Macaca mulatta: one gene and its partners. The protein of the gene in region 1 interacts with the protein of each later gene in a pairwise test. Links are inferred from orthologs where the notes say so. Each region holds a gene or a part of one and is shown in the gene's direction. Other genes may lie near its edges.

What was found. The genes of interacting proteins can lie anywhere in the genome.
Region 2: the proteins of GOPC (region 1) and VTN interact in binary tests that used the Homo sapiens proteins (3 or more experiments, as listed by UniProt). The two-hybrid records come from large-scale screens. The link is inferred for Macaca mulatta from reciprocal best matches to the Homo sapiens genes GOPC and VTN.
Region 3: the proteins of GOPC (region 1) and RNF183 interact in binary tests that used the Homo sapiens proteins (3 or more experiments, as listed by UniProt). The two-hybrid records come from large-scale screens. The link is inferred for Macaca mulatta from reciprocal best matches to the Homo sapiens genes GOPC and RNF183.

The regions. Positions count from the first base shown.
Region 1 is NC_133409.1:22,564,627-22,568,276, reverse strand, and holds part of GOPC (Golgi-associated PDZ and coiled-coil motif-containing protein), read left to right. Parts: intron 1-2,099; coding exon 2,100-2,275; intron 2,276-3,650.
Region 2 is NC_133421.1:37,064,583-37,068,332, reverse strand, and holds the start of VTN (vitronectin), read left to right. Parts: upstream 1-1,205; 5' UTR 1,206-2,107; coding exon 2,108-2,171; intron 2,172-2,264; coding exon 2,265-2,384; intron 2,385-2,459; coding exon 2,460-2,804; intron 2,805-2,882; coding exon 2,883-3,022; intron 3,023-3,282; coding exon 3,283-3,439; intron 3,440-3,638; coding exon 3,639-3,750. Other genes in the region: NAD(+) hydrolase SARM1 precursor, read right to left, coding at 1-357. UniProt on the Homo sapiens protein: Vitronectin is a cell adhesion and spreading factor found in serum and tissues. Vitronectin interact with glycosaminoglycans and proteoglycans. Is recognized by certain members of the integrin family and serves as a cell-to-substrate adhesion molecule.
Region 3 is NC_133420.1:45,009,197-45,012,946, forward strand, and holds the start of RNF183 (E3 ubiquitin-protein ligase RNF183), read left to right. Parts: upstream 1-1,519; 5' UTR 1,520-1,860; intron 1,861-3,750. UniProt on the Homo sapiens protein: Acts as an E3 ubiquitin ligase catalyzing the covalent attachment of ubiquitin moieties onto substrate proteins. Triggers apoptosis in response to prolonged ER stress by mediating the polyubiquitination and subsequent proteasomal degradation of BCL2L1.

The DNA.
Region 1 (3,650 bases):
TTCATTAGGGATTTAAATCATTAAAACCCCAGTCGGTGGTAGCTTAGTACGTCTCCTACGTTTCATTAATGTAGTATAAATAACTCATTAAAGTAATTGAAAGTAGGTAATCGTCAACATAAAGTTTATTTAGCCCATAAACCAAAGAAGTCTTGATCTTCTAGGAATGCTTTTTTAAAAGTTGCATCAACTTTAAAATGTCATAAGAAAGATTTTTGTTCATATCTCCAAACTGGTTTCTTTTGAAACAGATACTTGCCCTTTTAGGACATAGGTTCTGAAATAAAGATTTTAATAATTCCAAAATTATGTTAAAAGGAGGATTCTAGATTGAGATTTTCAAATCCTTTAAAACTAGTATCTAGAAATTATGTTCTAATCTTTTTTTCCCAGAAATTGAAAGAGTCTCCTAATCTTTCATATGTTTGTCATATATATAACAAATATTTTTAATCAAAGAAGTGACAAATATATCTAGCATTTGGTAGTTGTCGTTAGTTTTAGCTTGTATGTGTGTGTGTGTTTGTGTGTATGTATGTAAATTTTTTCTTTAGGATTATGGTATTTATTGACTAGTATTCAAATATATCTATTTTGATGTTGTTCAAAACAGTAGACCAAAGGAGACACGTTAAATTAGTACCAAAATATATTCCATGAATTGCTGAAAATATGCTTAAATTTGTTTCTTAGCTTCTCAATATCCAGAATAAAAAGGGAAATAATTATGTAAAATAATCAGTGCATACAATAGAAACAATACTATTCATCATTTCCTCAAGAGAAACAATTTCTCTGGTGCTAAGGTAGGTTTTTATTTACATCCTCACAAAAGGGACATGGTGGTATAGGGAATAATGTCTTCCACATATCATGAACAAATGTAACCATGTTTTCATAGGATTTGTGGATTCTGTAAAAGCAGTTCTGCTCAGGATAAATGCAAGTTTTCAGTGTTTAGGTGATTTTTTTGACCTACAAATAACACTTAAAATGTCTGCTGGGGCCCTTATTTAACTCTCAAAAGGGTTTTATTTGGCCATATAGTTTTGTGTGTGTGTTTGAGTTTGAATTTGCCTGCCTATGGGCAGAATTTTTTGTACCTTCTGTTTTGTACTCTATTTTGTCTTGTACCTGCCTGTTTCTGCACTTGGATCCTGAAGGCATTTACATTTGCAACCCTTGATCTGTAGGAAAGATTATACTTTATGCTTTTAAGGTAAATTGAACATTATTTCTCATATATGAACTTCTGATAAAAATTTGATGGTGAAGATCTTGCGGTTAAAGTCTCTGGCTAACACCTTTATGTTCACATATATGGACTATCTACCAAGAGGAACGTAGGAGGCAAGTGAGGCCAGTGTTTTCCTCAGAAAAACGTTCTGCATTCACTCTTAACATGCAGACAAATAGATGAACCGGATAACAAAGTTCAGTGGTAATCCACTCCATAGATGTGATTAATCTATAGAAACTTTGTAATGTGTAAATGTTTTAATGCAGTTGTTACTAGCAGTTTTTCATGACTATAAAATGTTTATTAGAAAACTAGTATATCCTCTAGTTTATTCCTTATAAGTTTCTTGTGGTCCTCTAAGATAAATTAGCTATAAAATGTATCTGTGTAACTGAATGATTCTGACTTTAAGACAGACATGCATAACTTTGCATGCAATTTCTGACAAGTCGACTTTATAGACTTGTTGCATTAAAGTTAATTAAATGTTTGGGAACAACCATCAGAATGATTATTTTTATATTAGTCTAGTTTTCTAAGTCAGTTTTAGAAGTAGATAGCAGATTTAACTACCCATTGAAGTCACTTTTACTAATATGTGATAACATGAGCTTAGAGTAGACTACTTTTCTTACTATCCTCCATATCAGGGTAACCCATGGCATGCAATTATTTTATCTAGAAGTAGTTCCAGGATGTTATGGTACTAGTTCAAAAGAACTAGATCCAGATCTTTGTGTTCCATTTTATAGAGATGATACATTGTTGAACTGTAGGCTTTTGTGCATTTTCAAGAACATGGTCTAGTGCTAAAGAGTTTTTATTTTCATTAAATTATATACTTTTAAAAATTACATAGGAAAGAGAGCTTGAGGCAAACAAAAAAGAAAAAATGAAAGAAGCGCAACTTGAAGCTGAAGTGAAATTGTTGAGAAAAGAGAATGAAGCCCTTCGTAGACATATAGCTGTTCTCCAGGCTGAAGTATATGGGGCGAGACTAGCTGCCAAGTACTTGGATAAGGAACTGGCAGGAAGGTGTGTAAAAAATGGGTATTATTGTACTCTTAAGTGACAAATTGGATATTTAATGAGGTTGACTCTTTTTCTTTTTTTATTTTTTTGAGATGGAGTCTTGCTCTGTTGCCCAGACTGGAGTGCAGTGGCATGATCTCGGCTCACTGCAACCTCTGCCTCCTAGGTTCAAGTGATTCTCCTGCCTCAGCCTCCCGAGCAGCTGGGATTACAGGTGCCTGCCACCACAGCCAGCTAATTTTTGTATTTTTAGTAGAGATGGGGTTTCACCATGTTGGCCAGGCTAGTCTCAAACTCCTGACCTCATGATCCGTCTGTCTTGGCCTCCCAAAGTGCTGGGATCACAGGCGTGAGCCACTGCACCTGGCTGACTCTTTTTTCTTACAGTAAATGCAGCATTAATCTTTTCCCTCAGAATCGTTTTACAGTTGGTTTTAACTTACTGTTGTTAAATTAATACTGACAGCATTATGTATTGCAGATCTATTTATCCATACTAAATATGTTTAGTTTACACACATAAACACTGATAGTATCTTACTGTGAAATGCTAACAGCTCTATAGAGCAGCACTTTCCAACTATTTTGTGCCTTGAGACCAGTACAACTGATATTCACGTGCATAGCAGAACTTCCATAAGGAATTCTTTTTATGATCACTGAAACCCAGCCTTTCTTGCCCTTCAAAAAGACATGTTGGTATTTAGTTAATGACAGTGATTTTATCATAATCATACACAGAATTCTACTTGTATTTATTAAGTAAATTATTAACTCTGGTGACTTATTAGTACTGAATCATTTTGTGCATATTCTTTTAATGTCACATTAAAAACATGAAAGAAAAAATAATCTATATCATCTTGAAGTACACATTTTCTAGTAACTTTTTTTTTTTTTTTAATTTTGTGAGATGGGGTCTCACTCTGTCACTCAGGTTGGAGTGCAGTGGTGCAACGCTGGCTCACTGCATCGTCTACCTTTCAGGCTCAAGTGATCTTCCCACCTCAGCTTCCCAAGTAGCTGGGACCACAGGCATGCCACCAGGCCTGGTTAATTGTTTTTAAGGTTTTGCCATGTTGCCCTGGCTGGTTCTAGTAACTTTTAACCACATTTAAAATAATCATTTTGTGAAAAGAAACTCTAATTAGAAGAAATATTTTTGTACAGTTAATCTCATCTAAAAGCTAACATTTAATGGTATCTGAGTTCAGTGACTTTGCCTGCAAGACGTAAAACAGATTGACATTAATCTCATCAATTGTTTTTTAGATTTATTTGAATTAAGTATATGACTAAAAGAGTTCACATTAATTCCTTTAAAAAAAATTTTTTTACTGGTTTTTCCCTTCAAGATACCTGTTCTTTTCAGAGTGTT
Region 2 (3,750 bases), on another chromosome or scaffold:
GGCGTCGCACAGACCCTGGGCTACCTCGCGGCCCACGGCCGGCAGCAGCCAGGCCTCCTCCACCAGTTGGAAGACCTCGGCCAGGCCGGCGCCCACGGCCCGCGCGCCGCCCGCCTGCTTCAGCGCGGACAAGGCCTGCTGCAGCTCCGGCAGCGCGCGCTCCAGGGCGTCCTGCACCTCGGAGCCTGCCCCCGGCGATACTTCGCGGGGCCCGCGGCCGCCCGCAGCCCACCATGGGCCCGTGCCACCGCCCCCATCCGGCCCCGGCACCGCCAGCCGCTCGGCGCCTGGCCGTGGGCCCGACATGGCGAAGAAACGACACAGCTTGTAGGCGGAGAGGAGCAGCGTCAGGACCATGGGCGCGGGGCCGCGGGGGACATCCCCGGCCTGGAGGCGGGGGCCGCGCGGAGAGATCCCGGTTTTGGGAAAAGAGGGACCCGAGAGGGGTCGGGGGAAGAAGATGGAGGGAGAGGAATAGAGAGAAGGGTACCAGGCAAGGGTGCCGGTCAGAAGTTTGAGGGAGGAGTGAGGGCAGGATCGGGGGCGCAGCGGTTGGCAAAGGTGATGCAGGCCAAGATGCAGGGAGTGGGCGAAAGGAGAGAGAGAGGAGGCGAGGGATGGCTCCGGACGCCGGAGGGTAGAGGAGGCGGCGGCTGGAACAAAGCGTTGCCCGGGCAGGGGCTCGGCTGAGCTGGGAGATGCTCGGCAGCAGCCACGCCCTGGAACCGCAGCGGACCCGGGGCCGATGCCCCGCCTCTGGGTCCAGCGGGGCTCCTCCAGCCTCCTGCGCAGCCCCACCCCCAAGTCGTCCCCAGCCACGCCCACGCCCCTGGCCAGCCTTTCCCAGCCCCTCAGTCGCAGCCGCCTCCTCCTGCGCTGGACTTGGAGGAAGGGGGTCGAAAATGAGATGACAGTCTCCGTTCTCCACCTCCTCTTCCCCGCCCCGCGTGACACCAGTACGTGGGAGCAACACCGCTGCGTGCCCCCTCCCTACTAAGTGGTTAAAACAATCATCATAACTCTTAAGGCCCTTTTATGCCTGTTTCTCAGCTAGACCTCACAACATGCCTCTGGGGTGGGAATCGGTGTTCCATTCCACAGCTGACTCCACTGAAGCCCATGAGGAAGAGATTGGCCAAAATCACAGTCCCCTCTGATTACAGAACAGAAAAATCAGCTAAAATCTCAGGATCACTTTTTTTTTCAGGTGATGGCAGGACTTCAGAAGCTCTGTGGACACCTGAAATTGGGCACAAAATCAGGTGTTTCACGCCAGTGGGCATTTTCCAGGTAGAGGGATCGTATTTCTCTTGAGAGTCTAAAAGTGTGAACAAGCCCACTCTTTACAGATGGGAAGACTGAGGCTGGGGACAGGGAGTGACCTGCTCAGAAAAGACTCAGAAATCAAATCTAGTTCAGTGGGTTGATATTTACCCAAATTTCCAGCCTGGGGAGATTGATGCACCCAAGCGAAGAACCCAGAAATGAAACTGTGTTCTTTTATGCTAAAAAAGAAAATTCCCCAGAGTGCTTACAAACTCTCCTCCCACTCCCTTTTTCCTGCCCTAAATAAACAATGGCGAATGAGCACCCAGCCAGGGATGTGTCTGATCAAACAATCATGGATCAATAGCCATGTTTGGAGAAGGAATTTGTGACTGCTCCAGCTACTGGGCATTTTGTCTGTTCCAGTTCATGTAATCTCCCAACACCCCATGAGGCAAGGGGGTTAATCCCATTTTACTGAAACTGAACTAAGACTCAGAGAGATAAAGCTGTTGCCCAATGAGCCTTCTTTCTGGCCTCCAGATCCGCGGTGCTAATTCCCCTTCTGATGACCTAATGATTCTGAGCTTGGCAAAGGTCTTATCTCCCAGCTCTCCCAGGCCCAGTGTTCCAGGAATGTGACCTTTGCTGCAGCAGCCGCTGGAGGGGGCAGAGGGGATGGGCTGGAGGTTGAGCAAACAGAGCAGCAGAAAAGGCAGTTCCTCTTCTTCAGTCCCCTCCCTCCCTGTCTCTGCCTCTCCCTCCCTTCCTCAGGCATCAGGGAGGAGACTTCAGGGAGATCAGAGCCCAGCTTGCCAGGCACTGAGCTAGAAGTCCCGCCATGGCACCCCTGAGACCCCTTCTCATGCTGGCCCTGCTGGCATGGGTTGCTGTGGCTGACCAAGGTACAGGGGGGTGTTGGTGGCCATCTGAGTCAATGTAGGGAGGGCGAGGGTGGCCCGGGCTTGGCGGCACCTACTGACACCCCTTCCTCAAAGAGTCATGCAAGGGCCGCTGCACTGAGGGCTTCAATGCTGACAAGAAGTGCCAGTGTGATGAGCTCTGCTCTTACTACCAGAGCTGCTGCACAGACTATACGGCTGAGTGCAAGCCCCAAGGTGTGTTCAGAGCCCAGGTGGGTGGGCTGGGGTGCCCCTTGCAGCTGGAGACTCACTACCATCCACTCTCCGCAGTGACTCGTGGGGATGTGTTCACTATGCCGGAGGATGAGTATGTGACCTATGACTACGGTGAGGAGAAAAACAATGCCACCATCCATGAACAGCCGGAGGGCTCCTCCCCGAGCCCTGACCTCCAGGCCCAGCCCGAAGGGACTCCTGAGCAGGCAACTGTTCTGAACCCTGAGGAAGAATCCCCTGCACCTGAGGTGGGCATCTCTAAGCCTGAGGGGACGGACTCAAGGCCCGAGACCCTTCGTCCAGGGACCCCTGAGCTCCCAGCAGAGGAGGAGCTATGCAGTGGGAAACCCTTCGACGCCTTCACCGACCTCAAGAACGGTTCCCTCTTTGCCTTCCGAGGTGAATCCAGGGCAGGTATTGGGGATGGGGGTCTGCCCCAGGAGCGTCCCCGCTCTCACACCACCTCCTCCACTGTAGGGCAGTACTGCTATGAACTGGATGAAAAGGCAGTGAGGCCTGGGTACCCCAAGCTCATCCGAGATGTCTGGGGCATCGAGGGCCCCATTGATGCCGCCTTCACCCGCATCAACTGTCAGGGGAAGACCTACCTCTTCAAGGTGCCAGCAGCTGTGGACCAGGGTAGAAAGCATCTAGGGAGGGTTTGAGAGCTATTGCTCCCAGGGACAGGGTGGACAGGGAGGCTGGACCCAGGGCGCTGCAGGACCTGGTGGGCGCTCTGTGAGCACAGGGCAGCCCCAAGACTCCAGGTCCTGGGCAGTGAACCTGAACCTGGGAACGGCTGCCTTAGGGCAAGGGACTCTGCCTCTGTGCCTAGCCAGCAGCCTCCATACCCCTTTTCACTTTCCCCACCTCTTAGGGTAGTCAGTACTGGCGCTTTGAGGATGGTGTCCTGGACCCTGATTACCCCCGAAATATCTCTGATGGCTTCGATGGCATGCCAGACAATGTGGACGCAGCCTTGGCCCTCCCTGCCCATAGCTACAGTGGCAGGGAGCGGGTCTACTTCTTCAAGGGTACTCAGGGGGTGGGTGGGAGACTGAGCAGGCAGTGGAGCAGTCTTGGATTCCTTTCACACTTCACTGGGGACAGGCCTCAGCATGTGCCCACCCCATACCCCCACCTCATGCTGGGAGATCCTAACTTCAACAGCCTCTGGGATCTCCAGTCTGGCTCTGGCCCAGCCCTCCTAATGCCCACCACCCCGCTCCCCAGGGAAACAGTACTGGGAGTACCAGTTCCAGCACCAGCCCAGTCAGGAGGAGTGTGAAGGCAGCTCCCGGTCGGCTGTGTTTGAGCACTTTGCCGTGATGCAGCGGGACAGCTG
Region 3 (3,750 bases), on another chromosome or scaffold:
TGAGACCAGCCTAGGCAACATGGAGAAACCCCATCTCTACAAGAAATACAAAAATTAGCCAGCCACGGCCGGGCGCGGTGGCTCAAGCCTGTAATCCCAGCACTTTGGGAGGCTGAGACGGGCGGATCACGAGGTCAGGAGATCGAGACCATCCTGGCTGACACGGTGAAACCCCGTCTCTACTAAAAAATACAAAAACTTAGCCGGGCGAGGTGGCGGGCGCCTGTAGTCCCAGCTACTCGGGAGGCTGAGGCGGGAGAATGGTGTAAACCCGGGAGGCGGAGCTTGCAGTGAGCTGAGATCTGGCCACTACACTCCAGCCTGGGTGACAGAGCGAGACTCCATCTCAAAAAAAAAAAAAAAAAATTAGCCAGCCACGGCGGCATGCACCTGTAGTCCCAGGTACTCAGGAGACAGAGGTGGGAGGATTGCTTGATCCCAGGAGGTTGAGGCTGCAGTGAGCTGAGATCACGCCCTGCACCCCAGCCTGGACGACAGAGTGAGACTCTGTCTCAAAATACATAAATACATAAAAATTATTGTTAAAAAAAAAAAACACAACATGAGGGGACTAGGGCGTTTGATTACATCACCAAGCAGATACATTTATTTACTTATTTCTCAAGTACTGCTGAAAATGTCAGTAAAGAAATAAGGGGCCAGGCGTGGTAGCTCACACCTGTAATCGCAGCTCTTTGGGAGGTCGAGGAGGGTGGATTACCTGAGGTCAGGAGTTCAAGACCAGCCTGGCCAACATGGCGAAACCCCGTCTCTACTAAGAATGTAAAAATTACCCGGGCATGGTGGCGCGCACCCATAGTCCCAGCTACTCGGGAGGCTGAGGGAGGAGAATTGCTGGAACCAGGGAGATTGGGGTTACAGTGAGCCAGTATCGCCCCACTGCACTCCAGCCTGGGCGACAGAGTAAGAATATATCAAGAAAGAAAGAAAGAAAAAGAAAGAAAAGAAAGAAGAAAGAGAGAGAGAGAAGAGAAGAGAAGAGAAGAGAAGAGAAAAGAGGACCATAGGTACAAAAATAATAGGTGCAAAAAGAATTTGAGCAGGAACAAAAGACGGGCCATGTGAACAGACCGGTCGTATAACAATAATAGTTCTGGTTAACATTTACTGAGTTACTGTGTGCCAGGCACTGTGCTATTACGCGATCTCGACACATATTACCTCGTTTCATCTACAGATCAAGTAGGTAGGGTACTATGGCCGTTTTCAGGTGAGGAAACTGAGGCTGGCAGATGTTAACTAATTTGCTCAAGTCTCCATCGCTAGTTAAATGGAGTTTGGATTCTCAGTGAGGATTGAACTCTGACCTAGAAGTGTGCCTTGCTTGAGAACCCTGGCTCTTCAGGCAGATGCTCAACTGTCTCCTGACTATTTTTCTGCTATATTAGTGGCAGCGTTTGTTAGTATTTTGCAAGAGCTGTTTGTATTTTGGTTGCAGGGGCTCAGCATAGGGAAGGATCTATCTGGGCAAAAGCCAGGAGTCCAGGCGGGTCAGCGCACAAAGGACAGTGGAATCCGAGGGGATGGTAGGAGATCAACCGAACCCAGAACAGAGGCCTGCAAGGATGACTGCGCTTGACCCCCTCAGAGAAAAAAGCCAGAGTCACTCACAGGAGAAAGACAAAGCAGCCAAAGCTTCCCGGGTGTACAGGAAGTCCAAAGTCATCAGAAGGAAGAAGAAAACCTGAAACAGTGAGAGCTGGCCAAGCGCTGCTAAGACCTATGCAAATGAGACCCACCCACGCTGCCTGGAAATCGGGCCTGGGAAGTCAGAAAACAAAGTACTTGCGTGCAGGGCTGCAGGGAAGGGAGGCAGAGGAGGCGGCTCCGAGGGAGCAGGTAAGGAGACAGAGAGGGTCGCGGAGGGACGGGTCACAGGGCCCCAGAGTCCGGAGAGGCAGCAGCCGTGAAGCGCGTGGCAGGTGAAATCTGGCCTGGGAGGGCAGGCTACTGGGTTCATCTTTCAAACTCAGCCACTCTTTAGCTGGGAAGCCTTCAGCAAGTCGCCTCAACTTTCTGAGACTTGGCTTCCCCATCTAGAAAATGGGTCCAACAATAATCATGCTAACCAGACTTGCATGTCTTCTGTATTCTACCGGGCACCTTATAGACTAGTCCTTCCCCAGAGCAACCCTGTAGGAGTGGGATGATTACCCTTTTTTACGGAGGAAAATGAAGTTCAGAGAGATTAAGCCATTTGTCCAAGACAAATGGTTCCAAATCTGGTTATAAAGCCGGCACACTTTGTCCTCCCCATTCAGCCTCTCTCACAGGGTGGTTTTAGAGTATGAAATGGCCTTCTGCAAACAACAAAATATCCTAAAAGGCAAGTAACCTATCTAGATGGATCACCACACTTAGATCTTAGCAAGGGCCAGGAACCTCTGTAAACTGTGAAGTGCTATGAAATGCCAGTTCCTGGGTGAAAACAATGGAGTGATGCTGGAGACAACTGATATTTGGTGATGACTTGTTCACAGACCAAGGAGATGACTTTGTGACAGTGTTTAGGATTTACTGTAGCTGAGATGTCCTGGCTTGGGGTGGGGGTGATACGTGGCCAGAGTCTCTCCCCAGCTGATCCTGAAACAACAGTGGATCCCTGGAAGAGCAGCACAGATAAAGATCCAGGCAATAATGATCCTTCCTCCTCTTGGACAGCCTTTTACAGCTCTGGCCATGGAATTTCAGAGAATGTAGGTCTGATCTGGGGGGAAACAGGAGATCTTGACGTGTAGTAATACAAGCTTACTGGAGTGAAGTTAGAATTTTCAGGTAAGAGAATTTAAAAAAAAAAAAAAAACTTATAATCTTGCCCCCAGAGATAACCACTGCTAATATTTGGTTATTTATCTTTCCAGACATTTTTTTCCATTGTGCACACATTTTTGAAAATTGGATTATATTGCAATATGGTTTTGTTGCTGGTTCTTTTTTGCTTAATGACATTATATCCTAGGCATATACCCATATTAATAGTTTTACCACATCATATTAAAGGCGGCATAATATCTCTTCCTATGGATGGAGCAGAATCTACTTAATCAATGTCCAATTACTGGATGATGACGTAGTTCTCCATACGTCACTGTTAAACCAGCGCCCAGATGGGCGTCTCTGTACTCACATCTTTGCAGAAGAGTCCTTGATGATTTCCGTGGAATCAATCCCCAGTGGGGGAAATGATGAGTCAGGGTTACATACAGTTTAAGGCTTCTGATAAGTATAAAAGGTCTGCTTCTAACACACTCTGGGATTCAGGAGCTCCTCAAAGCTTGATGCAGAGAACTTTGCTGTGGCTTTGAAGTCAACCTTGACCCTTCCTTTCTCTCAAATCCATTTGCATTAATAATTTCAGTTGCCTCATATATCCATAACAATGCTTTGGTCAACAGTGGATTACATATGTGATGGTGGCCACATAAGATTATAATACCATATATTTACCGTGCCTTTTCTAAGTTTATGTTGAAATACACACGTAATTATCATTGTGTTACAATACCTATAGTATTCAGAACCTAATAAGTTGTGTGGGTTTGTAGCCTAGGTGTAGCAGGCTAGACCACACAGCCTAGGCACGTAGCAGGCTCTACCATCTAGGTTTGTGTAAATACACTCTGTGCTGTTCACACAACAATGGGTTTCTCAGAACATATTCCCGTTGTTAGGTGCTATGTCGCTTTGTAGTCTTTACTGGGTGCTGGGCTCTAACTAAAAGCTTTACTA